Linked DNA regions of Coturnix japonica. The protein of the gene in region 3 interacts with the protein of the main gene of each other region in a pairwise test. Links are inferred from orthologs where the notes say so. Each region holds a gene or a part of one and is shown on either strand. Other genes may lie near its edges.

The links. The genes of interacting proteins can lie anywhere in the genome.
Region 1: the proteins of SPG21 (region 3) and PRPS1 interact in binary tests that used the Homo sapiens proteins (3 or more experiments, as listed by UniProt). The two-hybrid records come from large-scale screens. The link is inferred for Coturnix japonica from reciprocal best matches to the Homo sapiens genes SPG21 and PRPS1.
Region 2: the proteins of SPG21 (region 3) and S100B interact in binary tests that used the Homo sapiens proteins (3 or more experiments, as listed by UniProt). The two-hybrid records come from large-scale screens. The link is inferred for Coturnix japonica from reciprocal best matches to the Homo sapiens genes SPG21 and S100B.
Region 4: the proteins of SPG21 (region 3) and REEP6 interact in binary tests that used the Homo sapiens proteins (3 or more experiments, as listed by UniProt). The two-hybrid records come from large-scale screens. The link is inferred for Coturnix japonica from reciprocal best matches to the Homo sapiens genes SPG21 and REEP6.

Annotation. Positions count from the first base shown.
Region 1 is NC_029519.1:1,921,559-1,927,514, reverse strand, and holds the start of PRPS1 (ribose-phosphate pyrophosphokinase 1), read right to left. Parts: upstream 3,929-5,956; 5' UTR 3,737-3,928; coding exon 3,615-3,736; intron 1,666-3,614; coding exon 1,482-1,665; intron 1,142-1,481; coding exon 1,043-1,141; intron 1-1,042. UniProt on the Homo sapiens protein: Catalyzes the synthesis of phosphoribosylpyrophosphate (PRPP) that is essential for nucleotide synthesis.
Region 2 is NC_029522.1:2,449,439-2,455,247, forward strand, and holds S100B (protein S100-B), read right to left. Parts: upstream 3,929-5,809; 5' UTR 3,504-3,928; intron 2,250-3,503; 5' UTR 2,235-2,249; coding exon 2,097-2,234; intron 1,864-2,096; coding exon 1,723-1,863; 3' UTR 971-1,722; downstream 1-970. UniProt on the Homo sapiens protein: Small zinc- and- and calcium-binding protein that is highly expressed in astrocytes and constitutes one of the most abundant soluble proteins in brain.
Region 3 is NC_029525.1:16,061,723-16,066,008, reverse strand, and holds part of SPG21 (maspardin), read left to right. Parts: intron 1-1,525; coding exon 1,526-1,687; intron 1,688-1,796; coding exon 1,797-1,877; intron 1,878-2,472; coding exon 2,473-2,618; intron 2,619-3,122; coding exon 3,123-3,231; intron 3,232-3,715; coding exon 3,716-3,823; intron 3,824-4,218; coding exon 4,219-4,286. UniProt on the Homo sapiens protein: May play a role as a negative regulatory factor in CD4-dependent T-cell activation.
Region 4 is NC_029543.1:2,271,943-2,277,711, forward strand, and holds REEP6 (receptor expression-enhancing protein 6), read right to left. Parts: upstream 3,929-5,769; coding exon 3,814-3,928; intron 2,193-3,813; coding exon 2,099-2,192; intron 1,977-2,098; coding exon 1,838-1,976; intron 1,687-1,837; coding exon 1,518-1,686; intron 1,382-1,517; coding exon 1,290-1,381; 3' UTR 1,275-1,289; downstream 1-1,274. Other genes in the region: C28H19orf25 (UPF0449 protein C19orf25 homolog), read right to left, coding at 260-438, 527-671; PCSK4 (proprotein convertase subtilisin/kexin type 4), read left to right, coding at 3,927-4,244, 4,576-4,680, 4,760-4,855, 4,982-5,110, 5,515-5,591, 5,688-5,769. UniProt on the Homo sapiens protein: Required for correct function and survival of retinal photoreceptors. Required for retinal development.

The DNA.
Region 1 (5,956 bases), on a different chromosome or scaffold from region 3:
CACTGCTGCTGCTGAAAGGTGACCCCCACAGCAGGCATTGCTGCTCCGAGACACCCACTGCTGCACTCTCACACATTTTCTATCTGAAATGAAGCATTTGTGGGCAACCACCACACCAGAATTCACACCGACATGTGAGTGGCTGTGTTTTCAGTGATTAAGATGAGAGCAAACCCACCTACTTCACCAGGAAGTACATAGCCCACCTCTCAGGACTCAAAACACTTGCACCAACACAACAAATATGCTACAACCATCCAGGTGTAAACTGTTTTCTTGGTCTCACTGCTTGTTCAAGGTGGAAAGAAGCCAGAGTAACACCACCTCGCTGTCCCTCCTTTCCCTGCTAAACAGCTCCTGCTGTTCCAAAGCAAGCCCTGGTCAAAATTCCAATTGCTCTGTTGAGATGGCTCATTTCCAGCAAACCCATTGTTTTCTGTTCACCAGCAGCTTGGGAAGGGATCAAAGCCAGCCGTAGAGGACGGGTGGAATGAATACAAGCAGAGTTGCCCATCTCATCAGCAGCACGCTTTCATATAACTGTCCTGGTCAAATGAATGCTCATAAGCAGCTGTGCCAGCAACACCTGGAGGGTGTGGTAACCTCAGGGCAGCAGCACTGTTACCTGCACTGTGGCAGCGCTGCTTGCTCCTCCCTGACTTTCCTGCATCAGGAAGTTCTGCTCAATATTTAAGAGCACTAAATAAAACCATTCTCCATCTGAAACTCCTCCCAGGACCAATTAAGAACACAGAGTGCCCCCATAAGGTGACCACGTTGCACGGATCATTTACTAAGCCATCATTTATACATGGCTTGTTACACTTGGTCTAATTGAGAGCAGCTACGATCTTATTTACAGAGGAACCTACTGCCCACCTCCCCACCCCCCTTCAAACTGACCCTACAACTCCCTTCCAGCCCTGTGCTCTTAACTGCTGACTGCTGCTGTAGCTAAAAAAAGCAGATGACAGGAAAGCCTGCAAGGCAGTAAACAGGCTGAGATGGGAGCAGCTAAGTGCTTCCTGATTTCAGTTCCTACCTGAATCTGAGATGCGTGCAGGTCCATTGTGATTATGTGATCTGCTCCTGCCACAGACAGCATGTTTGCAACCAGCTTGGCAGAGATCGGGGCTCGGCTCTGGGACAGAAAAACAGAACACAACACTATTTAAGACAAGTTTAACTCCTTCATCAAGATGTGAGTCCTCCACCTCTAGGCAATGATTCACAAGCAGCTACTAAAAGTACTCATTAACACCACATCTTTTCATCAGCTTTGATTACAGGTTGGTGTATTTCCAAGCATCTTTGTGGAGATGAATCTGCAGCTCGATGCCCTCAGGTTTAAGTTAAATTAAGTTTTATCTCTTCCTCCACATATTCAATTCCAGCTAAACCCTGGCAGCCAGGCAGGCCTGCCGGCCTCTCCAAGCGTGCACATATCTTCCCCCAGCAGAACCCCTTCTTGAATCCCTTACCTTGTCCTTTTTGTCCTGCCGAGCATAAGGGAAGCAAGGGATGACAGCTGTGACTCTGCTGGCTGAGGCAATCTTGCAGGCATTTATCATGATAAGGAGCTCCATCAGATTGTCATTGATTTCCCCACAGCCACTCTGCACAATGTAGACGTCCTCCCCACGTACGCTCTCGCCTATTTCCACACTGGAAACAGATGGGGAAAGAAGAGTTGGATCTAAACAGAAATTAAAGCTGCAGTTGTTACATAGGCCTGCACAGAGACCAAGGGGTTGCAGTCCTGAGGGTCTGTGGGTGACAGCACCATGTAATCACGGGTGTTTGGCACGAACACTGTTGCTTGTTTGCTCAGTAGCTATTTCATAGTACTCACTGCTCACATTTAATGGTTCAATAAGGCTGAAAGCGCTCGGCCTCTGCTTTTAATCTCTATGCAATCTGAGCATGTAAACCCCACCCTCAAACAGTTCCTGTCCCCCCAAATCACAGAACTACAAAGCAGGGATGATGGCCAGTCAGCAGGGAAAGCCAAGCCAAGCTTCCAACAGAAGCCGTGCTGCAGCAGATTATTCTATTAGAGCCCTAACAGCTTTTCACTGCCTTGAACAGAGAAGCCCTCCAGCTTTTCACTCTGGAAAGGCTTTTGGGGTTAATTTCCTCCTAGATGTAATGCACACTAATCCCTGCTGATGAAGGCACTGAACACAAGCCAAAGGTCCTGTTTGCCAGCAGCACGCCGGCAGCTCCAACGTGTGTTGAGACACCCGCACCCAAAGCGGGGCTGGAAGGCATGCAGCCATCTCAGGTCTTCTCAGCTCTGTAGAAATGCTGTCCAAGATGAAGCCCTAAGTGCTGCAACAGTGAAGTTCAGAGAAGCCTGTCACAGATGTGGAAGGAACCCAGAGTCACTCGAGAGAGGATAAATCCTCCCCCAGCTTCTTCCAGTGCTGGGGATGCCCACATCCTGCAGCAAACTACAGGAGCATGTGGGAGGGTGGTTACCACCCCCACCCCCCAACAGCTCTGTGCTCAGAGTACCTGAAGATAGACCTTTAACGTTACTCATTTACCATCTCATCTTCCCCCTTCAGCTTGCTTTTGCTGAACACCTGGCCTTGCTGCTCCACCTCCACCAGCAAACTGCTAACTCCAGACATCTTGCCGTGCTTATTGCTCACAAGCTGCTCCAGGCTATCGTGGAGACCTTCCCAATGGGCTAAACTGGGCTGAACTAACAGCACACGGTGTCATTTTCCACTGCACTTTAATACCAGAGCTTAACATTAGAGCTCATTCAAGAGTGTGAGTACAACCGAACCGCTCTGCTCTTTTCCAGCATGGGCCCTGAGCTGATGGAGGTAAATAAGATCCATTGGATGTTCAGAACCTACATCAGTGCTCACACAGGGACCTGCTGGGAGGGACAGGGACATGAGGACAGAGCCACGGCACCACTGTACATCACATGGAGCCTTATCACACCTATGTGCACGGCATCATGGCAGCAGTTACAACAGCACGTAATGGAAACAACTCGTGTCTGAGACTTCTGGGCAACCACTCAGGATTCCCGTATCACCCCGGATATGGCACATACAGCTGCTTTCCTCGAGATATTTCCTATCGTGGCACCTTAACCTCTCCTTTCTCCTTAACTCCACAGACACAACGAGGCCGCCGCTTCCAGGGCCGTATGTGTGTGTGTCTGTGTGTGTATATGTGTGTGTGTCTGTGTGTGTATATGTGTATATGTGTATATGTGTATGTGTGTGTGTGTTCCTCCCCGCACACCTGCACGCACCTCCAGCCCCGCCCCGGCCCCAGAGGACGCACAGTCCGGCCCTGAGCCGCCACATGTCGTGCAGGGGGCGGCCCATCCCCGCTCCCCCGGCGTCATTTGGCCCCGTTATCCCCGCGCCGTGCCCAGCCCGGATCCCGGATCCCGCACCCCCAGCGGCCCTCTCCTCCCTTCCCCTCCCTCCCCTCCCTTCCCCTCCCCTCCCCTCGGGCCGCGGCCGCCCCCCGCTGCGCACTACAACTCCCAGCAGCCCCCGCGCGGCGAGCTCGGCGGAAAACGTTCCGTGGCCGGCGCGCTGCCCGCCGGGAGCTGTAGTTTGGCCCCGCCCCCTCCTCACCATGTCTCCTGGTTGCTGAACTTCTTGGTCACCACCTTGCCCAGCTCCAAGCCCAGGCGGTCGGCGATCTTCTGCGACAGGTCCTGGTGCGAGCTCCCGCTGAAGATCTTGATGTTGGGCATGGCGGCGGCTGCGGCGGCGGGAGCGCTGCCCTCCTCCTTCCCCTCGTGCCGCTCCCCGCTCCGCCTCGCACCGCGGCCCGCTGCGGCGCTGGGATCCACCCGCCTCCTGACAGGGGACGCGGCGAGGAGAGCGCAGGCCACGCCGGCCGCGGCTACTCCGCCATCTTACCCCTTCCCGCCAGCCGCGCGGGCCCTTTATAGACTCCTCGCGCCCCAACGGACACGCCTTGGCGCTCTCTCATTGGCTACGCCGCCTCCGGGGGCGGGTCCTACCGCGACCCTCCAATGGCGTGCAGGGCGCGGTGGGCGGGGCTTGGCCTGCTCTGCCGAGCGCCCAAACAACGGCCCTCCCTGGGGAGCGGCGAGGTGTGCGCGCGTGCTCCCCAAGTGGGCGGGGCGGAAGGCAGGAGGAGGCGTGTGATTGGTCGCTGCCTGTCCGCCTGCCCGGCGATTGGCCAGAGGGGCCGCGGGAATGTGAGGGGGGTTGGGGGGGGTAGAGTTGGCCACGCGCTTGGCGCCCCCCCACCCCCCTGCGGCCGCCATGATGGATCCCCCGCCTCAGGGCTGGGAAGTGGCCGTGGAGGAGAGCGGGAAGGGCGGGCTGCGGCCCTTTGCCTCCAGTTTGATGCTAAAAACGCCTCATTTCGCTAATAAAGTCAGAAAACAGCAGTCAGATGGTCTGCACGGCCGCTCACATCAGATGTGTGGGTGTTGCTGACAGCGCTGCTCCAAAAGCTCATGGCTGCCATTACCCCGTATTAACAACAACTGCGCTTCAGCCCTTCTGTGTTTGTCCTTCTTACCATATGGCGGCTTCACATCTCACAGTAACCGGGGTTAATGGCTGCACGAGCCCCCTTGGCTGTGTGATTCTGGTTCAGACTTCTCCTCACTCTGGATATCCTGTGGGATAATAATGGATTTTTGCCCCTATATTTCGGTGATAAATCTCTATATTGCAACAACAGCCTGGAGGCCTCCCCTCCCTGCACACAGCCTGCAGAGGGTCTGCTGCCTCCTGAAGGATCTGGGATGGGTAACTTCCAGGCCTGGACATATTTGATTCCCAGCCATTTCCCTCAGCCTTGGCTCAAACGGGGTGTTGGACAGCAAGGTGGTTACAGGACAAAAGTCCATCCATCTTAACCATTTATTGCTCTTAGCACAGGATAACGAGAGGGCTTTCTTTATCAAGGAGCTTTTAAGCAGCCTGCAGCTAAGGCCAAGTCAAACAAAGCCATGGAGCTTGCTCGGGAGGTTCCCCTCCTCCAGCTTTGAAGAGAGGTTTACGTGGATCTGCCTTCAGCTGGAGGCAGGCAGGGGTTGGGTGGCTGAAATCCATAGGCTCCAGTCTGGCTGTCAAAGGGGCACTCTGGAAAAGGACTGGATGTGAAGGTGGATGGGAGTATTTTTAAGTGCCCAATCCAACGTGGCTTGCTTCAGATCGAAAGGCAAATGTAATCAACTGAATTACCCACTTACAGCCTAAGGAACTGTATTTAATTGCCATTTGCTTTACCTCATAGAGTGGTACTCATTGGCTTTGGTGTTGGGAGGAACCATCCGGGAGCCTGAGCTGCTGTGTTCCCCTTTGGAAATGCATTGGTGTCCAGCTGCAGAGATGCTGAAAGGAATGGCACTGCTCCCCTTTTATTTACCCGACAGCCTGGAGGTTCACTGAATCAGAAATGGAGCTGTGTTCCATGGCCTAGGAATATATTGTCCAGGAAGCTTTAAGCAGCTCATTCACGCCATGGGATTTCATGGCCATGCCAATCAATACAAGCAGCCCTTTTCCCTCTCTTGGCACATTCCTGCATACAATTGCTGCTCAATCACCACCACTTCCCCCAGGACCCATTTCCATGCTCAAAGCGTTTGGCTGCGAGTTTTGTTTTCCTTCTCTCTGCCTTGTGGGCCATCCAGTTAATGAATGACACTGGGTAGGAGCAGCACAAGTCTGCCCTTTGGTGCTGGAATTCACCACATCCAACACATTCACTGCTATGAGCTATGGCTCACCTCCACTCTTAGGGCATTCGGATGTCAGTCTGCTTTCCAAAGCTCCCACTTAACAACTCAGAAAACCTTATCATATGCTCTGGATGCATTTCTGCTGGCTGCTCCTTTTCTGCTGCTTCTCTGCCTCTATCATCTTTCTTTTCCACAGGGATTATTTTCAGATAAATCCCCTGCTACTATCAAACCCTTGAGGATCAA
Region 2 (5,809 bases), on a different chromosome or scaffold from region 3:
GGCCCTTAAGGGCAGAGAAGAAGGAACAATCACCTCCCTCTCCCTGCTGCCACCCCTCTGTTGATGCAGCCCAGCATACAGTTGGTCTTCTGGGCTGCAAGCACACACTGCTGGCTCATGTCTAGCTTTTCATCCTCCAGAACCCTCAAGTTCTCCACAGAGCTGATTTCAGTGTGTTCTTATCATAGAATCATAGGGTTGGAAGGGACCTACAAGATCATCTAGTCCAACTGTCCTCCCACTGGAGGAGAGCACTGATCTCAAGCCCAACCTCTGGGGTACACCATTTGTGACTGGCCATCATGTAGACAAAGAGCTGTTGACAACAGCTCTCTTGCTATGACCATCCAATTCTGGATGGATGGATTTATCCACACTGGATAAATCCAGTGATTAGTCCAGCCTTCAAATCCTCCAATATAGAAATAAGGCTGTGGCGTGGGACCATAATATAGGGCGTGTGCACCAAAGCTGCCCCTGGCTGTCATTTCTCCAGTGTTTAAAGTCTGAGTCTGTTAAACATTTCAGCTCCCTGCTGCCATATTTTCTCCTTTTACTTCACTTGTAGTATTGCTGGCAAGTAGTTCTTATTTCAACAGAGCATTTAATATGAAGAAACTATCTGCTGGTGCCCTGTCTGATCAGTCCTCATTCATTGTCCTTACACGTCCTCAGGTCTGTACAGTCTGTACCAGTGGTGGACAAGTGATGAGGATGTCAGAAACGTAATAAGTAACTTGGATGTGCACTACCTTAGGATAGCAAAACCTCCTTTTCAGTTATTGGTGGAGCACAAGATGGCAATTGCAGACTGATAGGTGATGGGAGCTGAAAGAGAACCCCAGGTAAATGAACTGGCTGCCTATGTGAACTTCAGCGGTGCTCCGAGGCTGTATCCTCAACCTTTGACAACTCAAAGCAGCCACAAAGTGTACAAAGCCCGGAGACAAAAGGATTCATTTTTCACCAGAACCGCATTATGGCCCAAAGACCAACATTTTATTCTCATTGTTTCCACATACTCTGGAGCTGCAGCTGATAACATATGGATTTCACCCTTCCTTCAGGCTGAGCCTTGAGAGCTTGCCAATGTGCACCTCAGGCCCAGCCCAGGAGCCTCCTATGCTTTCATTTCCAGTTCTGCGGACAGCTATAAGCAGGAGGATTCATAGGCAGGAGAAAAGCCTGGGCTGTTACATGGTTATGCTTTGCCTTTCAAGCCAGGAGTTTCTCAAGTTGCCAAGGACTGCATGGGCTCTGCTCCAGGGTTAGTAGCATGCGTGGGGCAGTCAGAGCCCACAGAGATCACAGAGTCTTTCTGTGTAGGCCAATGGGCTCAGAGCCAGGCCTCTATAACCAGCCTCTCTGCATCACGCCCTGCCTCACCCCTTGAATTTTCCTTTTCCCTTTGCCAGCAACCTAAAGGATTGCAGCGGCCACCTGCTTCCAGCCCGCTGCCTGTCCCTTGCACACAGCAGCAGGGAGTGAGCCTGAGATGTGGCATTCGAACACATGCCATCCCAGGTGGGCGCTGTCTAAGAGGCTTTCCCAAGATGCATGGGCATTTCTGCTCACAAAGCTGCAGAGTTTAATAAGCTGCTTAAGTAGCGCAAGCTTAACTTCATGGAGCCCCCAGGTGCATCCAGTCTTCTCCCAAGAGGAGTGGTACCGCTCTGCATCTCTCCAGTGTGAGTGGGAGCTGCTCAGCTGCTTCTCACCAGCTCACTCGTGCTCAAAGAACTCATGGCAAGCAGAGGTAACCATGGCAATGAAGGCCACGAACTCCTGGAAGTCACACTCTGCATCCCCATCACTGTCCAGTGCCTCCATGACTTTGTCCACGGTCTCCTGGTCTTTGATCTCCTGAAAGGGCAGAAATGGATGTAGTAGCATCTGCTTAACAGCAGCCCTACCAGGGCACCTTGAGCCCCACAGGGTAAGGGTGATAAACAGGGTGATAAACCGTCCCAGGGAATGAAATCTCCCTAGTGTCCAGCCCAAGCCTCCAGCCCTGACACAGGCTTTGTCCTGCCACCACCTGCTCCTGGGGAGCTGGAGCCTGAGCCCAGCTGTGCTATGTAGAGGGCAATACTCACACCAAGGAAATGAGTTAATTCATTGTTAATGAGCTCCTTCAGCTCCGATTTCTTCAGCTTATGCTTGTCTCCTTCCTTCCCGGAGTACTGGTGGAAAGCATCAATGATGGCAATCATGGCCTTCTCCAGCTCAGACATGGTCACAGCACAGTCCTGAGATCAGAGGGAGGCGACGGGCACATCAGCAGGGTTAGGCTGCAGTGATGCATCAGAGCCCTGCTGCAACCCCCCACCCAACAGCAGCACAGGCAAGCTCTGCCAGTGGCTCTCACTTCAGAGAAGATCCCAGGATCTGTGGTTCTAAGGGGCCTTGGCTCTGAGTGCTCCAGGTGAGCTGCAACACAGGGAGTGGTGGCAGTGGGACAGGTGCATTCCCTGGAACCAACAGGAGTGTGCAGAGCGTGGGAGAGAAAACTGGAAGGAGATGGGTGGCAAAATCCTGGAGGCTTCTTGCGTTTCCCATATGTGCTGAGCTGGCTGTCAGCTGGGACAGGGTCATTTGCTAAGCTTGTGTTGCCAGTCCCCTTTGGGAAACCTGCATAGCAGAAATGGGCTGCGGGAAGCACAGAGCACTGGTCTGTGCCCAGGATGGGGCTCCAGCTCTGGCTCAGAGCTGCCTTGGATCTGCTGGACCTCCCCCAGGTCTCACCGTGGCTGGGCTGCATCTCAGTGCTGCTGCCTGGCGCTCCCCATGGGAAGGAAGCCCACTTTCAGATGGCTCAAACCACTATCAAAGTGCGGCAGGAACTGGACAGTGTCCTTGTGCCACATTCTCAGCTGATGGAGCACCCGTTTAATCACGCATATTGTCACCTCACCCAACTCTTTTATTCCTACTGGTCAACCCGTTGCTTTCCTTGGCAAGTTGGGGACAGGAGCAGGTAAGGGTGGGGGGATGCATTTCAGAAAGGCTTTGCTTTCCCTTTTATTTCAGGTGCCCACACCTCTGCCCTTCTTGCCTGCAGGCCCACTTCCAAATGAACAGTCGGGAGGGCATGAGGATTCGATTTTGATAGTTGCAAATAGAAAGAAACAAGGGCAACTCCTCTGCCTGCCTTCCTCGCACATCTGACCTGGTGCAGGACTACCAATAATTTCAGCTATTCCTGCAGATTCCACAGATATCCGTACAAAAATAACCCGACAGGGAGGGATGCAAATCCACCTTCCCAGAAGCTGCTCAATGCATTTACACTGGGCTTAAAAAACGCAACGGTTTGGTGTCCGGTCCTCGTTAAATACATACCGCAGGGGTAAATGTCTGCCATTGGTTAACTCAGCTCTGCACCGGCCTCTGCGGTGAGCAAAGATCTCAGCTCCGGAATGGCAGAGAACCATGGCGAACCAGCCAACCAGCCCGCCCGTCGGCTGCTCCCCCACCCCACCCAGAGCCCCATTCCTTCTCACCTCCCTTGGCGATGCTCAACGCTGCGGCTGCATCCCAGCGGCTGACCGCCTTCTTATGCCCGTGGGCGTGGAGCTTCACCCGTGCCGCAGCGCCCGGGACCAATGGCAAAGGGAGGCCGGGCCGTCCCGACAGCGGGCTGGGCTGTGCGCAGTGGCACACGGACGCGCATCGGCGCCCAGCCGACCCACGGCGGCCGTGGGGGCTGCTACAGGAGGCGGCCGTTGTGAATAGTGCGGGGAAGCAGACCCCGTGCACTGAGCAGCGCGGTGCCGGAGCGTGGCCGTGCCGCAGCTCTGCCCGCACGGAGCCGACGAGCAGCAGCGGAGCTGCGCGACGCTCCCACCCGCGGCCCGGGGGCTCCGCACGGCGCAGGGGCTGCGCGGCCGCTCCGTTCCGCGCCTACAACCGAGGCGACGGCGCCCGTGGCGGACCGTGCCCTCGCAGAGCCTCGCGGAGGGGCGGGCCGTGTGCCGGGAGCCCGAACCCCGTCGCTCCGTCCGTCTCCCCGCGCCCGGACGAGCGGCGGCGCTGCCCTGCGCTGCGCTCATCTGCTGCACGTGGGGCCGGCACGCGGCGCGGAGACCGTCCGCCAAACACAGCGAGCGCAGAGGCACCGAGCGGACTTTTATTGCGCACCTCAACCCGAGCCCGAGCTTCTGCTGCCGGCACAGCTGCCGCCGCGCGTGGCCGGAGGGAGAGCCCGGCGGCAGCGCGGCGATGGGGCGGCCGATGGACGCAGAAGGAGCCGGGCCGGGGGCGGCTGCCGCCAGAGCTCAGCGCCTAGTGGGGGTGGCCGTGGGGGTGGGGGCCCGGCGGGTGGTGCCCGGGCGGGTGATGGCCGGGAGGATGATGCTCGGGCGGGTGATGCTCGGGCGGATGATGGCCGGGAGGATGATGGCCGGGCGGGTGATGATGCCCGGGAGGGCCGTGCGGTGCAGGTGGGTGCCCAGGCCCGGGATGTGGCGGCGGCGGCCCTCCGTGTGGCCCTGCAGGAAGAGGGGAGCGTCAGGGCTGCGGGGCGGCCACGCGGCTCTGCTGCAGCTGCAGTGCCCCGGCCGCCGTGGGAGGCTCCTGGACCCGGGCGCGGCCGGGCTTGCGGGCAGCGGGAGGGGACGTGGGCACGGAGCGGCCTGGCAGCGCGGGCACCCCCAGGGCCGCCCGAGCCCTTCCCACGGGCGCTCACCTGGGTGTGGGGATGACATCTTCTCACGGCCCCGAGCTGCAACGGAAGGAAGCACCGCGCTGTCAGCGCTGCCTGCCGTGCGCGACCCTCGTGCCGGGCGTCCCCGTGGCCCCAGGGCTCCAGCCCACGTGTGGCCCCGCACGGACGGCACCGCCTGTCCCACACACGTCCCCGTGGCCACCCCGACCCTCCCGGGGGTCCCAGCTGCAGCCGCCCTCCCCTCTGCAGTCCCGGCACCACCCCGGCTCGTGGTTTCCCTCGCTGATGCAAAGAACCCGACCCCGGCCTCACGCAGCCCCTCGGGGCGGCGAGGAACAGCCGAGCCCCGTGCCGGGCCCACGGCCTCGGGGCCGCGTGGCTCCACCGAAGAGCCGGCCCTGCTGCCTCCCACCCCGCCGGCCGCTGCCGCTCAGCACCTGCACAACCGACCGCACGGACAGCACGGCGGGACCGGCGGCGTCCTCACGCGGCACACGGGCTGTCCGGGCCGGCCTCGGGCACCCCGTATTTATACGGGACCCTGACACCCGACGGGCACGGCTGCCTCATAAACACGCCGATGGCTTTACGGTGCCATCATCATGGGGATGCCCAGCAGACACACGGCGCACCCAGCACTGCGCACAAAGGTCTGCAGCCCTCGCCGGGCGCTGGCAATGGGTGGTGGCTCCTTCCACCAGCTCCTGATCCCGGCGGTCAGGGCCAGGGTGGGTCCGGCACAGCGGGTCCAGGCACGGAAAGGGGGCACGGGCAGGTTCCTTCACAGCCACTGCACAAACCTGTGCTGGAAAGACGTGCGTGGCACAGAGATGCTACACTGGCTTCTGTTGTCTGATGCACGAGGTCAGTGGGTGTTTGGTGCCTTCTACTTTGGGTCTGGCAATAAAGTTTCCTCCTGTTGACTTTCAGGGCGATCCGGGTTCCTTTGTGCTGCAGGGTGACACTTGTGTAAATCAGATGGAGCAAAGTTCAGGACAAAAAGCCCACAGTGCTGGCCGTAAATTCTTGTGGTTACCATTCAGCATTGGATGTTGGATGGTGCTGTGGGTAGTGAGGGAGGGGCCGTGGCCATTGAGGTGTAAAGGATGACAGCATGCATGGCGTGACACTGCCATGCAACCC
Region 3 (4,286 bases):
AAAAAGCTAATGCCCTCCCAAGCCAGCAGTTAACCATCCCACAGCACTTAGCATTGGGTTTGAGCTGTAGTAGTATCTGGGATGTGGCTGGAAATCAAATAGAACAGTTCAAACCCCCTGATTCATTGAGTTTGAGGAAAGAAACTTTACCTCTGAGCCTCAGTTCCCTTCATAAGTCAGGTGTTGCTCCTCATCTGGAAGTACTCCTTAAGATTCTGCTGTAGCCATTGACAGCTACCTTGAATGTCTCCAAAGTTACTGTAGAATAACAGCTGAGAGCTGTAATTTCTGGAGATGATGTGAAGGGTTGATTTTTGGGAGGCTTTAGGAGGGCTTTTGTGCAGGGTGCTGGGGGGGTTTTTGTGTGTATGTGTTTTCTTAGTGGCTTCAGTGGTCTGGGAAGCCCTGCTATGTAATCTGTCTTTCTTTGTTTCTCTTGGAGATCTCACAAAACAGCAGTATCATGTGATTCCTCACATGTTCCCAGAGCTTGAAATACCGGCTTTATTACAAGCAGATTTGTTAATCAAGCAAAAATGATACACTGTTCTCTAACTCCCTGAGCAGCTTAATTGCTGTGATGGGAAAGTGAATTATGCTTCTATGCTGCTATTCAAAAAATTACAGAATCTTGACACGTGGATGAACTCCTGCTGTGCGATGCAGCTTTCCTTAGATTTGTGACTGTTGATCTGGAATGAGCTGCATGCTTTTTGCTGGGGTGATGAGGGTTGAAACCAGCATGCTAAATACACACAACAGCTTGTTGGTAGGTCAGGCCCTGTAAAAGCGAGCCAGGCTTCAGCAAGGCTGGAGCAGACAATCGTTACCTAATTCCTATACTTCTGAATATACTATTTCTGCTGTGACTTCTTGCTTCTGGCATGTTACGTGCCCTCTGTGAGCAGCTTGTGGTGGATAATCTGCTTCATCCAGCTGTGTCGTAGGGACTCCAGGCTCTCCTGACATGTGCTTATTTCTTTCCAGGTCAGCTGTGCAGTGCTGCTCTGGGAGTTGAGTACATCCCTAGCAATCAGGTGTAACTGCTTTAAATCAATAATTTGCAGTTAGCAGCATAATTCAATAGACTCACACACATCCAGACCTGTAACATCTTTTGTCCAGTAAATAGGAGTTAGTTAAAAATCAGACCCTGGGGCAATGCAGGCTCTTCCAGCCTAAGGCTGCTGTTCTGGGTACTGTGAGCTGGCCCCATGGTTCTCTTTTGGGCCGTGGCACAGTGGCTCCAAGCATATTTCTCCTCATGTGGAACTGTATAAATGGGTCTGACAGTGCCCGGTTGTAGTTCTGTCTCCAGCTCCATCCTTGGAAACATCATTGCTTAGTAAACAGCCTTAGAGAAGAAAGTTGTTGTGAGAAATAAAAGCTGGTCTTATTCAATAGTTTTGGATACCGTAATATTTACTGAATGACAAATATTTTGTAGTAGCAATCCTGGAACATGCTTGAAGAAGCTCATTTCAGTCCTGTGTTTCTCACCCCTTCTCTTCTCCTCTTCTTCCAGATAATAGTAGATGATGATGACAGTAAAGTCTGGTCGCTGTACGATGCAGGACCCAGGAGCATTCGGTGCCCGCTCATATTTCTTCCTCCTGTAAGTGGAACTGCAGATGTGTTTTTCCAGCAAATTTTGGCACTGACTGGATGGGGTTACAGAGTTATTGCTGTGAGTATCATCTAGAAACCTTGAATGTGAGAATCAGTGTAACTTTGTAGCAGGAGGTTGACGTCTGATGATTAGAGACTGGCTTTTTGTGTCTTGTATATTGTTTCAGTTGCAGTACCCGGTGTACTGGGATCACCTTGAGTTCTGTGATGGATTCAGAAAACTGTTAGACCACCTTCAGCTGGATAAAGTGAGTGCCCAGAGATGGATATATAGCTGCCATAAAAACCTGATGCTTGAAGGCCTCATTTAAGAGCAAATGTGAAGTTCACAATGCAAAACCAGCCTATAAAGAGGCTGTGTTCTTTTGAAACTAGTTTATTTTTGAAAGGAAATTCCCTTGAAAATCTGACTGAATTCTCTGCTGTTGGAGGCTTATTACATTGGGTTGCTAACTGCATTTTTCTTTCTTGCTGAGATCCTGCTGAAGTTATCCTTCATAACTCACATTGTACAGAATATCACCATAAAGTACCTTGGATTGGAAAAAACATTGAATATAAAGTGAAATGATTACATTTTACTTAAGCACGATGAGCACACAGAAATTAGAAGCGTGATCAGGAAACGCTTCCTTTTTTTGGTATTTATCTCTTCTTGTAAATCAAAGAACCTACATTGAAGGCCTTTTTGTTCTGGTTTTGTTTTGTTTTGTTTTTCCAATTAAAAATGAGCTATAAGGACAAGGTAAAACTTGAAGGACTTTTTGTAACGTGGCCCTTAAGGGTCACTTAGTTCTCAAATGTAACATGACCTGTTTGTTTTGGTTTTCCTTTTTGAATTAGGTTCACCTTTTTGGAGCTTCTCTAGGAGGCTTCCTGGCTCAGAAATTTGCTGAATACACACACAAATCTCCCCGAGTTCAATCTCTGATTCTATGTAATGCCTTTAGCGACACTTCCATCTTCAATCAGACATGGACAGCAAACAGGTAAGGAAGACCGAGACAAGCAATGAGACTGGTGGCATTAATGTGTTTTCTGATGAAATTCCACACTGATCTGGTTCAACATGTGTTTAACTTGTTTTCAGCCTGCGTGCCTAATGGTGAGGGCTGGAATACATGTGACTTTTAAAACCATACTATAAAGGAAACAGAAGTTCTCACAATTGGGAGTGTGGAATTTGACAGACTCCTCCTGTATTTATTTCCTGTGATCATTTAAGGACGTGGTCAGACTTCAGAATTCTACTTGATTTCCAGCAAAACTTTTTAGAGTGAGGAAAGTGTTATTCACAATGTTTTTAATACACCCTTGCAATGCAGCAGCTTTCCAGAGCATTTCAGTCACATATCTGCAAGTTTTTCCATCTCTGCTCTTGAAGCATCTTCACGATTTCATTTGAAATTCTTGCACAAAAGTCAGTGCAAGAAAAGGGAAGACTTAAAAGAAAGCATCTTAATTCTGATTGTTACGTCTTGTTTCTGTTTTAGCTTTTGGTTAATGCCTGCTTTTATGCTGAAAAAAATTGTCCTTGGCAATTTTGCATCTGGTCCTGTAGACCCTGAAATGGCCGATGGGATTGATTTCATGGTGGACAGGGTAAGTGGCTGTGTGCTCCAATGGCTGTAATGTCAATCTTTGTGAGATATTCACTTAGTAGATGGGAGGTTGTAGATATTTCTGCTGCTTTCTTCATTTACTTACCCAGAAGTGAACAGTGGATGGATTCTCAGCAGGTGTTGGCTGCAACAGCTCTTGCAATTTAACTGGTGCTGTGATTTGTCTACCTTATTGTTCCATTTATCTATGTATATTGGAAGAGAGGTGGCTAAGAAAGAGATGGAAATGGGAATAAGTGCTGAGATAGTAGGCTATGCTCTAGAGGCAGGAACAATTAATTAAACGTTCTAAGTATTTGTCTCATGCAGCGAAATATTAAGATGGAACTATGATCTTCATCTGAAGTGCAGTCATGTTTCCCTTTAAAACTAAAGAGCTGTCTTCTCTTTGGCTCTGCTGTTATTATTGCATTAACTTCCTGCAGTGAAATATGTTATTAATCACAATTTGTCTCTACTGAAAGCTGGAGAGTCTGGGCCAGAGTGAGCTTGCCTCGAGACTTACCCTCAATTGCCAGAACTCTTATGTGGAACCTCATAAAATCCGAGACATCCCCGTAACTATTATGGATGTAAGTTTATTTCAGCTTAATTTTTTAAATACTTTTTTTTTTCTCCCAAACATCATTTCCTCCTCTTGGAAAGCAGGGCCTGGATATTGTGTTCACAACTTAATAAATATTTGCACCATCTAATTTTGTATTTAAATAGTTTTTCTACTGACTGGATAAGACAGCGGCTCTTCTGTGTTGAATTAATGGCTGTTACTGCACAGAACACCCAAATGTTTATCTATCAGTGTTAGCTTTCTAGTCACTGATGCTTAACTTGTTTGCTTGTTTTCTGTTTCATTAAAACTGCTCCACAGACAAGCTGGCAACTGCTTCTAGAAACAGGGTCTGTCAACTTGATTTAATAAGCAAAATCTGACTAGACTTAGAATTAACTGTTGTCACTTGTTGCATAGGTGTTTGACCAGAGTGCGCTCTCAACCGAAGCGAAAGAAGAAATGTATAAACTTTATCCTAATGCCAG
Region 4 (5,769 bases), on a different chromosome or scaffold from region 3:
AACAGAGGTCCCAGCCACTTGGTCCCAGTGCTCCAAGTAGCCCCGAAATCCTTTTGTCCTTAAGAACTCAGCGATGATGGAGGCGACAGAGTGATCCTCGGGGCAGTACCAGATGGAGAAGTCATAGGTGAAGCTGTGCTGCGTGGACATGGTGCCGGCAGGGAGCAGAGCTGTGTGCTGCTGTGGGTGTATTGGGAGCACTGGGAGGCAGCCAGGGGTAGGGGGGGTCCAGGTGAGACCCCAACGCTGTATCCCGACCTCAGAACACCTTGTGCCTCATCTCGGCCATGTCTCTCTCCAGTGCCATGCCCGATCTCTGCAGTTCATCTCGCTTCTTTGCCAGCTCCCCTCGAGCTTCCCGCAGCCGTCGGTTCATCTCCACGTAACCTCGGCACTGCCGGTAAAGCCGTTCCTGCTCATCCACGCCGTCCTCCTGCCCTGTATAGGGGGGTACGGGGGGCTTAATAGGGGGGGGGTCGGTGCTCTTTGCCCTCCCACCCGCTGATGCTGCCGCTGTGGGGCTCACCTGGTGCGGGCCCGTCCCGGGGGGGCTCAGCCGGGATCATGAGGACGGGGTCGGCCGGAGGCGCCCCCCGCACGTCGGCCAGGAGCTGCTCCACGGTGGGGGGCTCGGGGCGGGTGGGCAGGACCCGTTTGGCCTTGGAGCTCATGGCGGGGCTCTGGGGGGGGTAGGGGGGGGCTCACAGCCGGGACAGACGGACACTCACCCGCCAGGAAACCAGACGGACAGACAGACCCCCCCCCCCCCCCCTCTTCCTGGTTGCCGTACCTCCACCTTCCCGCGCGCGCGCCCCTCCTTCTCCCGCGCACTAATGACGTCACAACCGCGCCACCACGAAGCCACGCCCCCTCTTAAAGGCGCCGCGACAGACGGGAGTGGATGGGGAACAGCTTTACTTTGGGGAGGGGGGGGAAAAAGGGGGGGGGGAACCGAGACGCGGATGGGCCGGGGGAGCAGGGAACGGGTTGAGGCCGGCGTTGTCCCGGTGCTTTATTTGTTCTTCGCTTCCTGTGCCAACTTCACGGCGGCCCCGGCTGCGGGATAGAAAGAGAGAAGGGTGAGGGTCGGGACCTGCATTGAGACCACCGAGATGGGGGGGTTGGGGGGTGAGGAGAGCCTGCTCTATATCTACAGTGGGTGGGCTAAAGCAAAGGGGTCTGGAGGAGCAGGGCTTATAGGAGAGGGGGTTATAGGAGAGGGGGTTATAGGAGAGGGGGTTATAGGAGAGGGGCTTATAGGACCGGGGCTTATAGGAGCAGGACCTGGGCTATGGGATATGGCTGTTACATACAGACACGCTGAGCTGCGGGGTGACTTGGGCAGCCAGCCGGGCTCTGCTGCTGAGCAGAGTGTGTAGAACTGCTCCAGGAGGCGTAGGAAGAAGAAAGATAAAGAGAAGGGCCGGGCTGCCATCACTGTGGGGATATGGGGTGGGATACAGGAGGGGTGTGGGGCACTGAGAGCTGCCCCATGATGAGGGTTGGACCCACGTTACCTTCTCTAGTGATGGCAGAGGCTGCATCCAGTGCTTTGGTGCTGAGGTCGCTGAGCACCGAGTCCACAGCACGGTGGTGTTTGAGGAAGCAGGGTCGGATGATGCTGTGATAAAGCACTTGGGAGCCATTCCAGGACACTGGGGCCATGCACCACACCAGGAACAGGCACTATAGGGGAAGAGATGCTGCAGAGCTGGATTGTATGGGCATCCCAGTACTGCCAAAGGTGCCCAGAGGAAGCCCCAGAGCTCAATACATGAACCACAAGAGCTCAGCCATCAAAGGGGGGGTCTCCCCTGTGCCCCCATGAAGTCGTTACCTTCCCAGCATAATAAAAGGGGAACCAGTAGAGGAAAATGTCAGAGAAGAACTCGGCTATGCTGAAGACACCGTACACCACCCAGTATGTGAGCCACGTGGTGTCATCCTCCTTGCTGGAGCTCTCGATGGCTTTGATGCTATGGGATGGAGGACATCAATTACTGGTTTGTTCCCATATCTCCAGGCCTGGCAATGAGCCCCATAACAACTCCCCAGTGTTTCAGGAGTGACCATCCAGAGCTGTAGGGTCAGTACTTACGAGACATATGCAGGGTAGGCAAAGCCAATGAGGTTGCAGACCAATGAGGCACCGTAGCCAAACACCAGGTACAGCCCCACGAAAGCCAAGGAGCCTGCAGGATAGAGCCAAGAGTTCAGCCACCCCAATGGTGTCTCAGCTCCTGCTTAGCAGCAGCTTAAGCACCTTATCCTACAGCAGGGCAAGAGAGCTGGGACTTAGCCTGTCTGTGGCAGTGAATCAGAGGGAAGGGGCACAGAGGACACAGGGCTCATCCCTGTGCTGCTCACAGCAGCAGATCTGCTCCATGCTCTGTGCTCATATGGGCACCTCTGGGCTTTGCAAAGGGAGCTGGGCGCTGTTCCCAGCTGGTGGGAGCAGTTACAGCTTCCCCCTCCAAGGGAAATAAGCAGGCAGGTTCAGGCAGCTCCGGGTTTCATTCCCTAAAGAGCCTTAGAATGGATTGCACAGGCTAAGTTTAGCCCCGGAGAAATTTATGTAAGAGCAAAACACAAAGGAGAGGCTCAGCTTTGAACACAGAGGAGCCTTGTGTGAAGGAGGGCAGGAAGGAGACACATCCCGGGGTCCTAAACCCACAATGTGAACACAGGAGGAGGAGGAAGGGATTCTGTGTCCTATGGGTCCTGATCAGGCTGGTGGAGGAGCTGCTCCAAGGCTCCCACACCCAGAGCCCCATCTCTGCCTCCCATACAGGACAGGAGGTCAGTGAAGCCTCATCTCTGCAGCACTGAATGGAGAGCTTGGCAAAGGTTTATCCCCATCCACAAGCAGATGTGGCACAGAGGGGATGCTGTCCTCCTCCTTGGTGCCCTTTACCCTTTACAGAGGCAGCTGTTGGGTCTGTGGCTGCTTTATAAGATACCGAGCAGCCCCTTCTGGGCTGAGGGATTGCTGCAGGGTGGGGGGGAAGGGAGGAAGAAACCCGATATTTGTTGTTGAGCATCAGCTTCTCCTTTCCAGACATCGGAGCTGAGCTGCAGGAACAACAACTCTGCTCTATCCCTGTCACCCACAGCCCAAAGTGCAACCAGAGCCCCAGAACCAGCGCTCCAAACACGTGTCAGATCCCAGCAGAGCAACCAAAGCTCTATAGGAGCCGTGGGGCCAGGAATCAGGCTGGGGGCACAGCAGGGAAACCCAGACCCCCCCCCCCCCCATAAGGAGGTTCCATATGGCAACGTGGAGGCAGATGGCAAGTCATAAACGCAGCCAAGGCACAGAAATGGCCAAGGTTGAGGTGACAGCCTCACCGAGGGGGTCAAACGGTGCCGGGATCGGCTCCGTGGGGAGATATCACTTGTTTCTCGTTAATGAACAAACAGCAGCTGGTTAACGAACAGACCTCTGCCCTCCTGCTGGGGGTTGGGGGCTTGGTTCCATGCTACAGCCAGGCTTCCATAGGGCAGGGGGATGTGGGGAGCAACACTGGGCAGGGCAGGGCTCTGTGAAGCCCACCATGTGGGGCTGGGATCGAAGGGGGGGAAGAGGAAGACACCCCCTCCCCTAAATAACCAACGGCTCCCCTGGGCAGCTTCCTCCCTTCCCCAGGGTGGGCAGTGTGGGGCTGTCAGCGCAGCACGGGGCTGGGGGGGGACCCGGAATAGGGGGAGGGGGCTGAAGGGGACCCGGAATAAGGGGAGGGGGCTGGGGTGGACCCGGAATAGGGGAAGGGGGCTGAAGGGGAAGGGGTCCACGCGGTGGGGCTGCGGGCTCACCTGTAGCCAGGTAAAACCGGCGGACACCGGTCCGGGCTTCCAGGCGGCCCAAGAGGTCGGAGATCGGTCCGGGTCGGTCGAGGAAGCGCTGCAGGCGCTGCTGGACGGTCCCCATGGCTGCGGGCCCCGCTCGGCCCTATGCGGTCCCGGTTCTGTGCGGGGCGGAGCGGGGAGGGACGGGCAGGTGGCGTCTCCAGCTCTATGGTAACGCACGCAGAGCGCAGGGCATGGCGACACCGCACGGCATAGGGGGGGCGTGGGGGCTGGGGGTGTTATTGGGTGTGGGGCTGGGGGTGGGTTTGGGGCTCACAGCGGGTCCGCACGACGCTCCGAGCAGCGTTTATCTGAGCAGCTGGGCTGTGTTGGTCGCGGAGGGGCAGAGGGATGCGGGGCTGTTGGCACAGCGGTACGGGCTGATCTGCGTGGGGCAGGTGAGGTCCGACCCGCTGTAGGGCTGTGTATGGGGTATATGGGGTCCTATAGGGCTGCACAGCTACCTGCTACAAGCATAGGTAGGAGAGGGAGCCCGTGCATGGTGCAGAGCAGCCCCTTTTCCAGCACCATCGTGGTGCAGGGAGCCTGCTTTGGCAGGGGAATGCACTCAATGACCTCTAGAAGTCCCTCCCAGCCCCTACAGTCACTCCATGATCCCAAAGCATCCTTCCCACCCTGCAGCCCAGCAGACTTTGAACTGGCATCCCCCCCCCCCCATTTCTTTCTGCCCATCTCCATGCAGCCCCCTGAGCTCAGCCCTCACTGCAGGTGCTGGATGGAGAGCCCTACTATCACTTCCAACACCGTGGCTCCAGGCAGACATCCCTGAGCAGGCACTGGGGCTGGAGCCTGAGGCTGAGCAGGGAACCACAGGTAGGGGCTGGGCTGCACATTAGACCAGGGCACCCTTATGGGAACACACATAGTGCCAACAACGCTGCTTCCCACCCAGGTTCTTTGGTTTGAGCAGCAAACAGTGAAGATCAGAGCCAAGAGGAGCATCAACGTGGTGCCCACAGACCCTTGGTTCCCCAAGCAGTGGTACATGGTGAGATGGTGCTGCTCTCCCATCTAATCCCAATGTCCTCAATCACCTGCCCTGAGCATAAGCAGGACTAATGCCAGCAGTGATGAGGCAGCAGGATGCACTGATCCATCCCAATCCCTTGTCCAGAACAACGACATCAGCCCTGATCTCAACATCCTCTCTGCTTGGAGCAAAGGCTTCACCGGCCGAGGGGTCGTGCTGTCCATCCTGGATGATGGAATTGAGAAGGATCACCCTGACCTGGCTCCTAACTACGTAACCAAGCTCCCCCCTTGGGCAGAGCTTTGAGTTTTGGGGCTGGGAGGGGATGGTGCAGCTCTGCAGCCCTTGGGATATGGGGTGGGATCAAAGGGCTCTGCTTCTCTGCCATCATTTCTCACAGCAAGGAAATGTTAGAACTTGTGTACGGCTGAGCCCCCAGAATAGTCAGATGTAATTACAGCAAGCTGCAAAGCAAGTAGGGCTTGTAAAGCCTCACGTGCTCAGAGAGCAAAGAGAACAGGGGAACCTTAATCAGTTCAGAGCAGCGTGGGTTTAAATGAGCCCTGCAGGTTCAGGCGAGGCCAATGCAGTCAGTGGGCATGCAGGGACCTCCCTGTGCTGGCTGGCTGCCTCTTGGCAACGTGCTTTGGTCCCACTGGTAGCCCTTGTTGCATTAGGATCCTCTCGCGAGTTACGACTTCAACAGCAACGACCCTGACCCCCAGCCCAGGTACGACACCTGGGGTGAGAACAGGTGAGTTGAATCCTCTGGTTCTGCATTGAAACCCCCACAGCCCACCCCACTCACTCAGCCCCCTTCAAGGATGGATCTCTTGTGTCTGCCCCTTAGACATGGGACACGCTGTGCAGGAGAGGCAGCAGCCGTAGCCAACAACGGGATCTGCGGTGCAGGCATTGCATACAATGCAAAG